Drosophila melanogaster: one gene and its partner. The gene in region 2 interacts genetically with the main gene of each other region. Each region holds a gene or a part of one and is shown on either strand. Other genes may lie near its edges.

The links.
Region 1: of stwl (region 2) and pum, changing one suppresses a phenotype caused by changing the other (phenotypic suppression), as found in Drosophila melanogaster (one study listed by BioGRID).

The regions. Positions count from the first base shown.
Region 1 is NT_033777.3:9,233,988-9,239,013, forward strand, and holds the start of pum (pumilio), read right to left. Parts: upstream 3,039-5,026; 5' UTR 2,823-3,038; intron 678-2,822; 5' UTR 1-677. Other genes in the region: D1 chromosomal protein, read right to left, coding at 4,532-5,026. UniProt on the Drosophila melanogaster protein: Sequence-specific RNA-binding protein that acts as a post-transcriptional repressor by binding the 3'-UTR of mRNA targets.
Region 2 is NT_037436.4:14,403,742-14,411,957, forward strand, and holds the start of stwl (stonewall), read right to left. Parts: upstream 6,199-8,216; 5' UTR 6,022-6,198; coding exon 5,874-6,021; intron 5,106-5,873; exon of another isoform or gene 5,039-5,105; coding exon of another isoform or gene 5,005-5,038; intron 3,097-5,004; coding exon 131-3,096; 3' UTR 1-130. Other genes in the region: CG3919 (uncharacterized protein), read left to right, coding at 7,354-7,531, 7,759-8,069.

The DNA of each region.
Region 1 (5,026 bases), on a different chromosome or scaffold from region 2:
TTGCTGCTGCTGCTGCTGCTGCTGCTGTTGGTGTTGCTGCTGCGGCGAGGGCGTCGATATGGCAATTGTGGGCGCGGTTAGGAGCTCAATTTTGGAGGCTTTTCCTAGCTATCGCAGCTGACAATTTTGCGCGTATTGCCAACTTGAATTGTATTTTAACTTGCAGCACAAAGAACCACACGCGCGTTTTGCAACACTATTCGCTCGGAAATATTCACAAATGTTACATATAATTTTTTTTTAATTTTCGCTTCAGATTTACACTTGTTTTTTGCTTTTATTTATTTTGTTGTAAAAGAAACCACACTTTTTGCTTAATATATTTAATATTTATTTTACAGGCTTTGCTGAGATTTTTCACACACTTTTTGATCAAAAAAATTGAATTTGCTTCGTTTGGTTTGGTTGTCGTGGTTGGTTTGTTTTTTTTTTTTTTTTTACATAAATTTACACAAAATTATGAATAATATTTTACACAGTTGCACAGCTGTTGTTTTTGGGACTTAACAAAACTGAACTTTATTTATTTAATTACGTATGAGAATTGGTTAAAACTTGAATTTTTACAGATTTCTTGTTGAGAATTGTGGAATTTCCGTTTATTAATGTAGTTTATTAATTATAATTAGGATGAATTTTAATTTACACGACGTTTTAATGATGAAAATATACACAAACTGCAATGAGAAATTAAAGTGTAAACTGTGATTAGTAAACGCAGTAGTTTTTGGAAATAAATTGTTGAGAAATTATCGATTTCGAATCAAATAACTTTTTATATGATGCTAGTTTTTATTCCCAATTCAATACGACACTCGAACCACTGTACTTTTGTGCGATTAAAAACTTTGAGCTGGTCATGGTAAAGAAAAGATTCCGATAACACAGACAGCAGACAGGGCACATAATAATAATCAACAAAATAAAACGCACAAGGCACGCGTAAAAGCAAAACAATTTCTTCTAAAACTGAAAGACGACTAAGGCAAATATTAGCCATGATTTCCCCATTACGAAAACAATAACAAAGTAGATGCCGATAAGTGGTGAATTGCGGGGGGGGGGGGGGAGTGTGTGCGTTGCGTTTACGTTTGAGGAACAGGAGCCCCAAGAACAAGTCGCAGAAGCAGACTATCCATAGAAGAACAACGCAGCGCTGAATCATGCTCGAAAAATACGGAAAATATAATTTGGTTTCTTTGAAGACCGATTGGATTAATACTCTTAATAAATTACGATGCAGGCTAGTTTTATCAGTGACTATCAATACATAACTTTTCAGACTTTATCTATTCGTAAGTGCTTAGCAACCGTAACAAAAAGTTGGCACACGATAACAATGGCGTTTATGTTGCAGTTCCAAAAAGGTTTTAACGAAATTTTATAAATCACCATTAGGACCATTGCATTTCAACATTATGAAAATGATCTTTAGATCTGATTATTCAAATCCTGTTTTACTCTTTTAACATGAAATTCTATAATAGTTTGGGATTATAATAATATCCATTGTACAAAATATGGAATCCAATGAAAACAGAAACAAAATCCCTTTTTAAAATCTGGTTACATTGTAGATCGGCTTGTTTAACATCTAAGAATTTATACATATCTGGAAAACTTGTGAACAGAATTATTGTTATAGCGCCTCCCGCGGAAAGCACACGGAAAGACGTATAGCGGCTTGTTTAACATCTAAGAATTTATACATATCTGGAAAACTTGTGAACAGAATTATTGTTATAGCGCCTCCCGCGGAAAGCACACGGAAAGACGTATAGCGGGGGGTGGTGGGGCGGTCGAAAATGGAAAACATATAAAATTAACATACACACAGAGGAGCAAGAACAACAACAAGAACGATGCCGGCAGACGATGAGCGAATGCGACAGAACGAATGGCGAAGAAAACGAAACGAAGACGAAGGCGAAAGGCGGCCGCAAACATTTGAGGTTACGTTTTCAGCGAAAAGAATGCGAGTGGGTCGGTCTTTTATTTTATTATTTTTTTTTTTGTTTTTGGGTTGTTTACGAGAATTATATCTCCATTTCTCCCTTTCGGTCCTTTCGTGCCTCCCAAGAAGCCCCCCAAAAAAGGAGAGACAAGTGCAGCATGCGAAAAGGAAGAGAGAGAACGCGAATGCTGTGCCCCTGGAAGCTCGCACACACCCACACTTCTAGGGGAGGGGGGTATATATAAAAACAAACATAAAGATAAACCATAAAAGAGATGGCGGACAAAACAAAGGAGGTGCGGCCAATAAGTAATTAGGAATTAAAACCATTTGAATTGTTTAATATTTTAGTTGGTAGTTAGGCGTTCTTATTGGGAAAAGCACATATATACAATTGCAAGGCGTCCCGAGAGAGAGAAAGAGCGAGAGAGCACACACACACACGTAAGAGGGAGCTGAATGGTTTGGCGGGGGGACGCGGGGAGAAGGAAGAAGCAGAGCAGCCAAATGGCCACCGCTCAAAAGGAAGAACACGATGGTATAAGGAAATAATGAAACACACACATTCGCACACATACGCACAATCGGAAAAATTTGTTCACCAACCAAACAAAAAGAAAGGAATCATATAAATTATTCAGGCACACACTTAATTGATTTTTACCTTTTTCGGGCAAAATACGAATTAATTTCGCAAACTATTTATACATGTTTGCATATGTACAAAAAGCGGTCTGGAAATGCACACATACACTCATGCCGCCGAAATGGAAAAGGAAACCCGATGATGACAATGTAAAACGAAACAGGAGTACTTTACGGTTTTTAGCTGTTTTTTTTTGTTCATTTCCTTTTTTGAAACACTTACACATGCACTTAAAAAAGCCTTCTCGTTTGCATTTCCATTGATTTGATGGTGTGTGTGCTTTCGTTAAATACGAAATTTAGATTATTTAAATTACAATTATTTACACAGGATGATGAAGAAGAAATCGGCCAGGAATTTCTTCAACGTCGCCGCCGTCCGTCGCAGAACGATAATAAAAGCGAAATGCAAAGACACACTGGCCAAATACAACTACAACAAAGAGCTAGAGAGAGAGGAGAGAACAAGAACCCCCCAAAATGAGAGCAGTGTTGGCAAACGTGCGAAATCAACAGAGAGAACGAGTGAGCATGCCCACAGAGTGCGAGAGAGAGCAAGAGCGGGGGTGCGAGCGCAAAAGACCGACAATTTATTTTACTTTTATTAACATGCGCGCAAAATATTTATATAAATTGATTACACATTTTCTTGTTCTTTTATCATCACCCCCTTTTTTATATTCACCCTGGCAAATGAATTACGCTGCCCCAGCCAAATTGTTTATATATTATTTATCAATCGATTTTAGGGGCATGCCAAATTTGATCAGACGCCAGTCGCACACAAACACACACTTGAGCACACACATTCACAGACCAACACTCGCGCATACATACACACGCACCAGGGTGTTTGTTTTGTTTTTGTTTGCGGCTTTTTTTTTTATCAATTTGTGATCTTTTTTCGCAGCCGCAAATTTGATTGTGATTTACCGCCGATTGGAAATGTAAACAATGCTGTCGAACTATCAGCATAAGGCTGGCAGTTTTAAAATACTTTTCATATTTTATAGCTGTTGGGTACTCACACCTTAGCTTATTTGAAAAATTTACATATTACAAGCACGCCGTTCTAGGTCTGCTTCTTCTTACGCGCGAACATTTAGTGTGACCGCAGCTCGACCGTTCAAATATACCATTGCGAAGCGCACTGAGAAACACTCTCCAATAGTTCTAAGATACCAAAAATTTAGCATACTACTATATGTAAGTTATAATTTCATTTACTATCCCATTAGAGAAATTAATTGATTTTTATGTTCTATAATGCATTTAACTAGTTGCCCTAGTTTTAATGTTGTTAAAATAGCATTACAACAATTACCGTTTATAACTTCACTTTCTTCAGAGTGACCATATAATGTAAAGTACAGTGAACACTGTATATAAAGAATCAATACAACCATGGATTTACATATTTTTCCATCTGGTTTATATCAATAGATAATATATGTTAAATGATATATATAAAAACTAAATTACACAAAATTTTTTTAGGTATAGTAGGTTTATTTAAACTTGTATACGATTGAAATTTCTGCAATCAAATCAAATTTGTTGTTACAATAAAGTTCAGTTCTACTTCGGAACTTGAAATCTTCCCCAAATATGTTATTTATGTGTTATTTATTTGGTAATTTCAATCCAAGTTGAAATCGTTTTCCGAGCTATGTGTCGTCATTACAGTGCAGTGCAGTTGTAAACGGTTTGTCCGATTTCTCAGCAATAAATCGGAATATATATGTAGACAAAGTGTGTTGTTTTAGGAGGGGAAGGTTCTCTAAAGTCCAAGTAGGTCCTATCCATTTTTGTGTTTTCTTCTCTTACTTGCAGATTTTTTTTCGTTTTTTTTTTTTTGCTTTTACAACATTCTTTTTTTTTTGTGTTGATTTTTGGGGAGGGGTGTGTGGAAATGTTTATAAATTGTATGTTTTAGGCAGCTACCGATTCGGAATCGTTGTAGTTATCCGAAACATAACCGTCGTTGGCATCATTTTCGCCATCGGAGTTCCATTTGAGGCCATCTCCTTTGGTTGGTGTCCCATCCACGGCACGGTCCTCGTCGTTCGACTCCTTCTTGGAGTTGTGTTGGCCCTGATCGGCGGAATCAGCATCATCTGCATCGTCATCAATATTTTTCGCTGGGCGACTACGGGGCTTTGTTGTTTCCTCTTTGGACACCTTGCCAGCGGCAAGAGAGGGACGTCCACGTTTCTTCGGCGCCACTACCGTCTTCTCAGGCGAGCTGTGTTCCTCCTCCCCGGAGTTCTCATCGTCCTGATCGTCGTCATTGTCCTCGTGCTTCTCGACGGGTGCAGCATTGGCCTTTGGACGACCGCGCGGACGACCGGTGGGTACGTAGCCAGTACTGCCACCGCTACCCGACTTGTTCTGTGGTGGACGACCGCGTTTCTTGGGCACTTGTGG
Region 2 (8,216 bases):
AAATGTTTAACGCAACATTATAAGTGCATTAGATAGCTTAACAATTTTTCAACGTGTTATTTACGATTTAATGAATCTGTCTTAATTCTTTACTCTTTAATCAATACTCGGAAATTTCTTTGGCCTGGTCTTAAACACCGAGTATGTCATTGTGATCCTCCGCGGGATCCACTGGCTCTCGCTTAAGGTTGTCCAGCGAAAAATCATCCGCAGCAATAGTGGCTGCTGTCTCCGAGGATTCAATTTTATTTCTCTGCACCGTCTGACTGGCCTGCTGAAGAAGGTCCTGAAAGGAGGTTTTGGTATTAGCCACCACCAAGCTGCGCTTCAGCGCCGAGGTAGGCGAACTTTCTTCGCCGTTTACAGAGGCCGTTGCAGCGGGCTTGGGCTGGGCAAAGTCATTGAAGGCAGATCCTTGCACACTGGCAATCTGCGGAGTTTTCTGAAGCAGGGAGGCACCGCCAGTGGGTGAGATTTGCTTTTGGTAAGCAGGAACGCAGCCCACAGACTTCCTCACTAGTAAACTGCTGCCTTGCGATGCAGTGGTCATTTGACTAGCACCTACGGCAGAATACCGAGGGCGTTGGGTAGGTGGCACCATTCCATGCCCAGCTGCTATCAATCGCCGCTTAAGCATAGACGCTTCCATAGCGCTAGCATTGGAGTTTATGGTGCTGCCATTGGCGGAACCTTGGCTAGCGTTTTGGGCATTGGGTGGATTGCTGCTACCGCACACGGAATACCTCCTGGACATGGCGCGGATATTCTCGGAGGCAGCTCCCTTGGCCGTCGTCGGTCCATTGCCTTGTCCAAAGAAACTGTTGATCAATGAACCCTGCGGCCTTATAGCAGCCACTACAGCAGCTCCTTTGGGACTGCCTGTTGGGGCGTGGTTGGCCACCTTGACCACACTATGGTTACTGTCAACACTATCCTTGCGCAAAATTTCCTGAGTGGCACTCAAGTTGCCATTCGGTTTACCACCCATAGCCGCTAACCTGAACAACCTCTTATCTAGTCCACCCGCCGGGCTGGTGGGGGCGATCTCTTGTCCAGTGCCTGGCTTGTATACCCTCTGAATGACTTGGCGTGTCATATTTGTTCGGGGTCCTCGCTGTACCTCAGGAGCAATTCCACTGCGGGAAGCTGTAGCTATAGCTGTAGCTTCTCCTGGCGGTCTAATTAGGGTAACCTTAGCCGCGCTCACCATGCTGACTAGCTCCCTGACCAATCGAAGTTCCGGATCTGTAATGTGCTCAAATCCTGAAGGAGTGTTTATATTAAAATGCTGCAGTTCTTTAGACGTTGGGAAATCGGTAGCATCATCAAAGGTTTCCATCAGCGCTTGGAATACTTTCTTCTTAAAGTGCATCTTCTGACGGGGGTTCATTTCCTGCATCTGGGGCTTGATCATTTCGAGAAAGTAATTATCGGAGAAAGGATTCTGGACTCCGGTTTGAGTGCCTCGCTCAGTCATTTTCAATTGGGTTATACTCTTTCCGACCGGAACGGATGTTCCAGCTGTGGTGGTTGTGGGTATATTAGTTATCACCGCACCAGAGGCACCAGTGGTGGCCTTGCTGCTGCTGCTGGTGCTAGATGAATTCGGACTGTAGCTTATTACATTAACGTTTTCAGTAGTTTTGATGCTGTTGTTACTGGTACCTTTGGTAATGGTATTAGTAGTAGCGGTGCTGCTGCTTATGCTAGTAACGACGTTGCTTTTGATAGCAATATTATTTATGTTACCACTCGCGACGGAGCTGGTGGGCTTGCCAATGGTCAGGACTTTGGTGTTTATGGGCGACTGTGGCTTGGTCTGCGTTTCCGGCGCAACTATTCGCTGCACCATAGGTAGCTTCTTGGGCGGCCTACCCACGGACCTCCTTTGTGGTGGACCAGATCCCTGCGGGTTAGCGATCGCTTCATCGGTCGTCGGAAAGATCAGCGTCTTCTGCTGTTGTTGAGTCTTGAGTTGGTTTTGATTTATATTCACAACTCCAGATGGCACCGCAGGTCTCGGGAAGATGTCATCCCGATGACTGATTTTCGTGATCTGGACTGGCCCGGATGGCGGCTTGTTGATCGGCTGAGACCTGGGGACTGGAGTCATTTTCACAGGCGATGTGGAGCTCCTTACACTGTGTACAGCCGCTAAACTCATAGATTTCCTGCGCTGCAATCGCGTCATTCGTTGTGCTTGGCCTGGTTTCTGGATCGGTAAATCCCTTATGCCAGCGAAACTTATTGATGCACGGGCTGCGCGACGTGGACGTCGGGTTGGAGAAGTAGTGTCGCTGCCTGTGACGCGTTTTTCACCATCCCTACCATATTCATCGCCACTATCTTCCATAGCCGTTTCCAGAGGATCCCCGGAAATAGATTTTGAAGCCTTGGATTCAGCAAACGAAGACGTCGAATTCTTTCTGCCAATAATTAGCAAACGAGGATCTCTGGTTTGCTTGACAAAGAACTCCGGCTGGCTAACAGTTGAGTCGGTGTTATTCTTCTCTAGAGACTTCTCCGGCGTTAACTCCTTTTCCTGATTCGATTGTTCCAAGTCAAAATCGAAACCTTCCAGATCTTCTAGGTGCTCCTCGTCCATGCACTCGTCGTCTTCATTATCAGACTGCAGAAAACTATCGAGTTCAGGAACCTTCTCTGGTTCGTCCGATTCCTCCAAATCATTCAGCTTCTCTTCAGCACTTTTCTTCCTAGATCGCTGTTTATCTCCAGGATTTTCCCAATTTTCTCTCTTGTCTTGGGACGATTTTTCCTTACGAACTTGACTTGCCAGCTTGACCTCCTTAACTAACTTGCTTGTCGATGATGCGCGTTCTTTTAATGACGCCTGAGCATGATGATCCACGCCCTCGCTGTCTCTATTGTTATCCCTGTCCTTGTCCGATGATACGCTGCGGTCATCGTCGGCAGCCATGTCGTCAGCTATGTTTAGATGGCGGTCCAAAAAGCGCAGCTCATCGGCCAGCGGATAAGCCAAACGACGCTGGCCATTTCGTCGCCGGTTGGCGTCGGCGTTGCACCAGCGGGTATAGTCATTTCGCAGCTGACGCCAGCGTCGCTTGCATTTTTCCACTGCAAGAGGGAACAAGAGGGAAATGATAAGGCTAGGTAAGAAGATATGATACGTAATATATATCAGGCAACAGGTAGCGGCCCAACCTTTACTTCTCAATAGCATAACACCCCCTGATTGCCCGGAAAATTCCACTTTAATCTTAGCTCATAAAACTTTGTGTGCATTTTACATGAACAGGTAATAAGAGCTCAGGAATGCTTATTAATAATGGGAAGAGACACTAGTTAAATTATTTTTAATTTCAAAAAACCAACATTGTACATGGTTCCGTAAATGCAAGTTTCGCTTGAAAGTATGCTATGTATGAATATCTAAATGAGTATAAATGAGTATTCGGTGGCGAGTACATGCACTGCAGTTTATATATAATTTTTTAGCTGCCTGAAGGTAGCAGTATTTAATAATTAAGCTATACATGTATGTAAATTTTTAAAAATAAAAATAAAAGCACTGCAGTGTGTAACTGCTAGTCACAAAATCGGGGCATCCAGTACGCACCGCGAACCCTGAATCACGGGTCCTACAACCCGGATGGCACATTACTTGTTTTTAATAAGAATACACTAGATCTTGGAAATATATATAAATTTTGGATTACATTTATTAAAATCGAAAAACTATATTTTCAATACCAACAGTCGGAAAATGATTAGCTAATTAATGGTCTTAATGGTCTAAATATGGTCTTCGGTATTAGATATTTCCATATTATTTTTTAATTGATCAAATTCGTATGGCTCTTTCCATTGGAGGAAGTGGCAAAATTGATTTGGAGTAATAGACAAGAAATTCTTAGCTTCTACGTGCCAAAACTGCTTCTTAGTTATCTGCCTTTATACTCGCCGATTAATATGGTTTGTAACAGTATGTAACTAACTACGCTGCGGAAGGTTATTTTCAATTACCGCGGCCAAAATCTGACAAAACTGACACATGAAATTTTGTGTTCGGTGCCATTTCAATTCTTGTCCTTGCATAAGGATAGTTCAAATAAAAATCGGGTCATAAAAAATAAGCTTTTTTCTAGCCAAACATAACAATTTTTTAAAGTGATAAAATAATATCAGCTATAACATATACAAGAAAAATTGTAGGAAATTACTTTATATTTTTAAGACAAAGCATTTTTGCAAAAAATTAATTTACAGTGCAATAAATCACCACAAAAACAAATAATAAGAGAATGAATAATGGAAGTGGGAAGCTTTATAATGCATATAGATATGGCATATAGATAGATATTGGGGAGTCAAATGAGAAAATTTTAAAAAAACTGTTCAAAAAGTCAATATAAATTTACAAAACTAATTAAAAATTATGAAAAAACAAACTTTCGCTGCGTCTAAGTCCCTTTAATCTATATGTTTAATTTGAACCTTTTTGTTTCTATAGTTCCTGAGATCGACCTTCATACCAGTTGCATACATACTTTGCAACGAATCCCTTCCAACGTATACCCTTTAAATCTACGAGTAAGGGGTATACAAATTAGAAGCGTCCATTTATCTGCATGACCATACATGACCATATATATTTATATAAATATATATATATGCAGATTTCCGACATACATACATGGGAACGTACATGGATGTACATATCATACATATTTATAAGGCGTGCAGGTTTCCGACGCCCAAACTTCTAAGATACGTTTTAATTTGTTAGTTAACAAAACCTGTAGACATTGCTGAAACACCCTTTATCTGATATCCAAACACATTACTTAAAAAATAGTTGTGTTAAGGAATCGTGTAAAGTTTAGTAAAAGGTGTCAGAAACCACGTGGAAATAATCGCAATCAAATTGAGAATCATACTTAAATATGTACATGCACGTGTGTATGTACATATGTACACTAAAAAGGATTTTTCTTTCTTTTGCGATATATAAATAAAACTTACAGCAAGAATTCTCGAATAAGAAGTCCCCCATCATTGGCAATATTTTTTCAGTTCTCAAATGAAAAAGAGCCAACTTATATTGTACTGCTCGAAAAGTTTGGCCAAAAGATCTTTCCAGGGAAATATATATGGGTCAATCGATATACACCGACAACAAAATCAGAGATGCATGGATAAATGGAACTACCCACTCATAATATACCAATATAATACAATATACCAATTTTCTAAGGTTAAATTTTACTCAGCTAATGGGCGATTAGTGTTACCAGTGTTACCAAAACGTGCAGAAGGATTCAAATCATTTAAAAAAAATTTATAAAGCTAATAAGAATTAAATGAAATGGATTTGGCTACTGAATAGACTAGATATTATTATTTGTCATATTTTGGTTTTTCTGTATTTAATTTATTTATTTTTAAATCCTTCTAAAATAATGTAATATTCAAATAAGACATTTTTTTAATATGAAATAACAAGCTTGTTGGAGAATTATAAATTATAAAATGTTAAATTAAAAAAATAATAATAACAACAAACGAAATAACTTTGTTTAGTTTTTACCATGCAATTATTGCAGTTGCCAAATAACTAATATAAATTACTTTCCAGCTATTTACAAAAATTATGTCACAGCAAGAAGCAATTTCATCCCAAACGACTACGCATTCAACAGGAGACTCGTTATATTCGAATTAATCGATGCCAGCTGCTTTGTGATGGCATACATGGCGCTGCCAACTCGCACACAACTATCGACGGCCGATAATTCGGGGACGACTGACTGTTGTGCGCGCGTTGACGCTGTGCAGCACTGGCAGAAAACTACGCAACGTCGATTGCTATCCCGCTCGCACTCACGACTCACCCGACTCTCCAACTTCGGAGGCAACCATGTCCCAGGCGTTCTCACTCGGCAGGCGCTTCCTATAGTTTTCGTCGGTACGATCATAAAGCGCAGTCTGCTTCTCCACTGACCGCAGCAACATCAGGTTCACCTCAGAGGCGGCGCTCATCGCTAGTTCACTTTGCAAGAATCCAATCGAGAGAGCTCGCTTCGCCAGGAATTTATCGGTTTTGTGTTATGCTACAAACGCAAACGCAATTCACACAATCACAACACACGCGCGCAGCAGCTGAGACTAAAAACGGCGACCGACTGCAGCGAAAACTAAAAGCGAGTATTGAGCACACACACACAGCCAAGTGAGAGTGTGAGCAGAGAGCGGCGCCTTGCGTTGCAGGGAAAAGCGAGTTGGCAGGCCGAACGGTCGTTGACGAGGGTTGACCAAGGTGGCCCCGGATAAATTTATTTTTTACCTGTCGGGCTAGACTATAATATTTTTTTACGTTTATAAATAATGTTTTTTACGCGTTGTTCATAATTCTCAAAACCGCTCAACCTTGTTTTCCAGTTTCTCTAAGATTTGTTAGCATTTATCTTAAAATAAAATAACTTCATTTGACAGCCAATACAAATATGAAATATTTTATTTTGTACATTAATTTAACCAAAATCGTAATATTCTTGAATAATTTTTATAATTTACAACATTTAGGGGTGGTCATTAATTAATTGGTAAATGCGTTGGCAGCACCTCCAGCGATCAAATGGCACTGCCAACACCAACTGCTATACTATTGCATTAAGTCTGGCAGTGCTGTCTACTTTGAGTGAGTGTGCCTTTCATTGTATGTGTGAGATCCAGTGGCATGTCAATTCTCTCTCAGAGAGGGTTGTATGCTGCTCGAATGGTAACCCCCGCTGATTTGCGAAGAGAATGACTACGCCTCTGGCTTTCCGTTTGTTGTGGCTCCTTTCTTTATTTATTTTGCCGGTGTTTTATATTCTCCGCCCGTTAAAGATTCAAATGTCCAATTCGAATCAGTCTAGTGCTCATGTGCTTTAAAATCAAGAACAATTGCTATTTGAAATTGCAACATTCATTTACAACTGCATCACTTGTTGGCAGCAGCACGAAATCGCAGTGTTCAAAGTTGCTAAACACTTGTAATAGCAGCAACTCCGGCGTCCACGCCAACAACTGCCGCGTGCACGGAAGCAACGAGCGGCTTGAGCCCGAACTTAATAAGCCAAAACTCGTGATAAAAGCACTGACATCGATTAATTGGAGCATTTTTAAACCTAATTCACGTAAGTTTAAACGAAAGATCTGGTTTCAGAGAAAATAACTGTTGTTGAAAGCGGAGCAGAGAAGCAAAGTAGCGGCAAACAGCTGTTGCACGGTCAGGCGACACATGTTTCAGATTCGATTTCGGGTCTTCTACTTTAACTCTATTAATTATATTAATTAATTAAATTTGCATATTTAGTTTTTATATATGAAATGAATACACGCCGTCGGTCCATAGCTCCACCACCGAACGTTTACGCCATCAATGCCAAAATATGTCATTTGGTGAAACTACATCCTTGTCTTTACGATCGTCACGATGACAACTACTTGCGGAAATCGACTGTGAAAAATGCGTGGAAGGAAATATCCAATGAGATGCGAAATTCGGGTGGGTTTTTATCTATATTTCGACATATTGCATATTAACTAAATTTACTTTAATTATTAAATTTACATTTCATTAGGAGATGTTTATATTTTTATAAGCACGATTTTACTATGTCGATACATAATATAAAATAAAATATAATCTCTTATAAAATCTTACAATTTATATTATATAAATATTATATAATATTATCTTACAATCTTATTGACTGCTATTGATCATTTCAGTTAAAAGCTGCAAGGAACGTTGGCGCAACATTCGCTCCAGCTATGCCCGCTCAATAAAGTTGCATCACGGTGCGAATACGTACTATCTTAACAGCGAGCTGAAGTTCCTGCAAAAGCACATCACTCCCGGAGTGCCCGTTCCGCTCAGAGGTCGTAGGTCAAGACCCAAGGGACAGGAGGAGCACGACGAAGGGGATCCCGAAACTCCCGTAGAGGCAATCCTCGAGATGGTGCACTCCCCGAGCTTTCTGAATTCGGAGCATGCGCAGAGCCGTCACAGCACCGACCCTGCATCGGCGACGGACGTTGAGGTGGGAGCAATACTCAGATGCATTTTGCTGAGGCCTTAAATTATTACAACCTTGTTTAGCGTTATGAACTATACTTTAAAGTAAAAAAATGATGTATGCTATATTTTTGGTCAAAAGTTAAAGCTGTGCAAATTAGCTTAGTTTTAT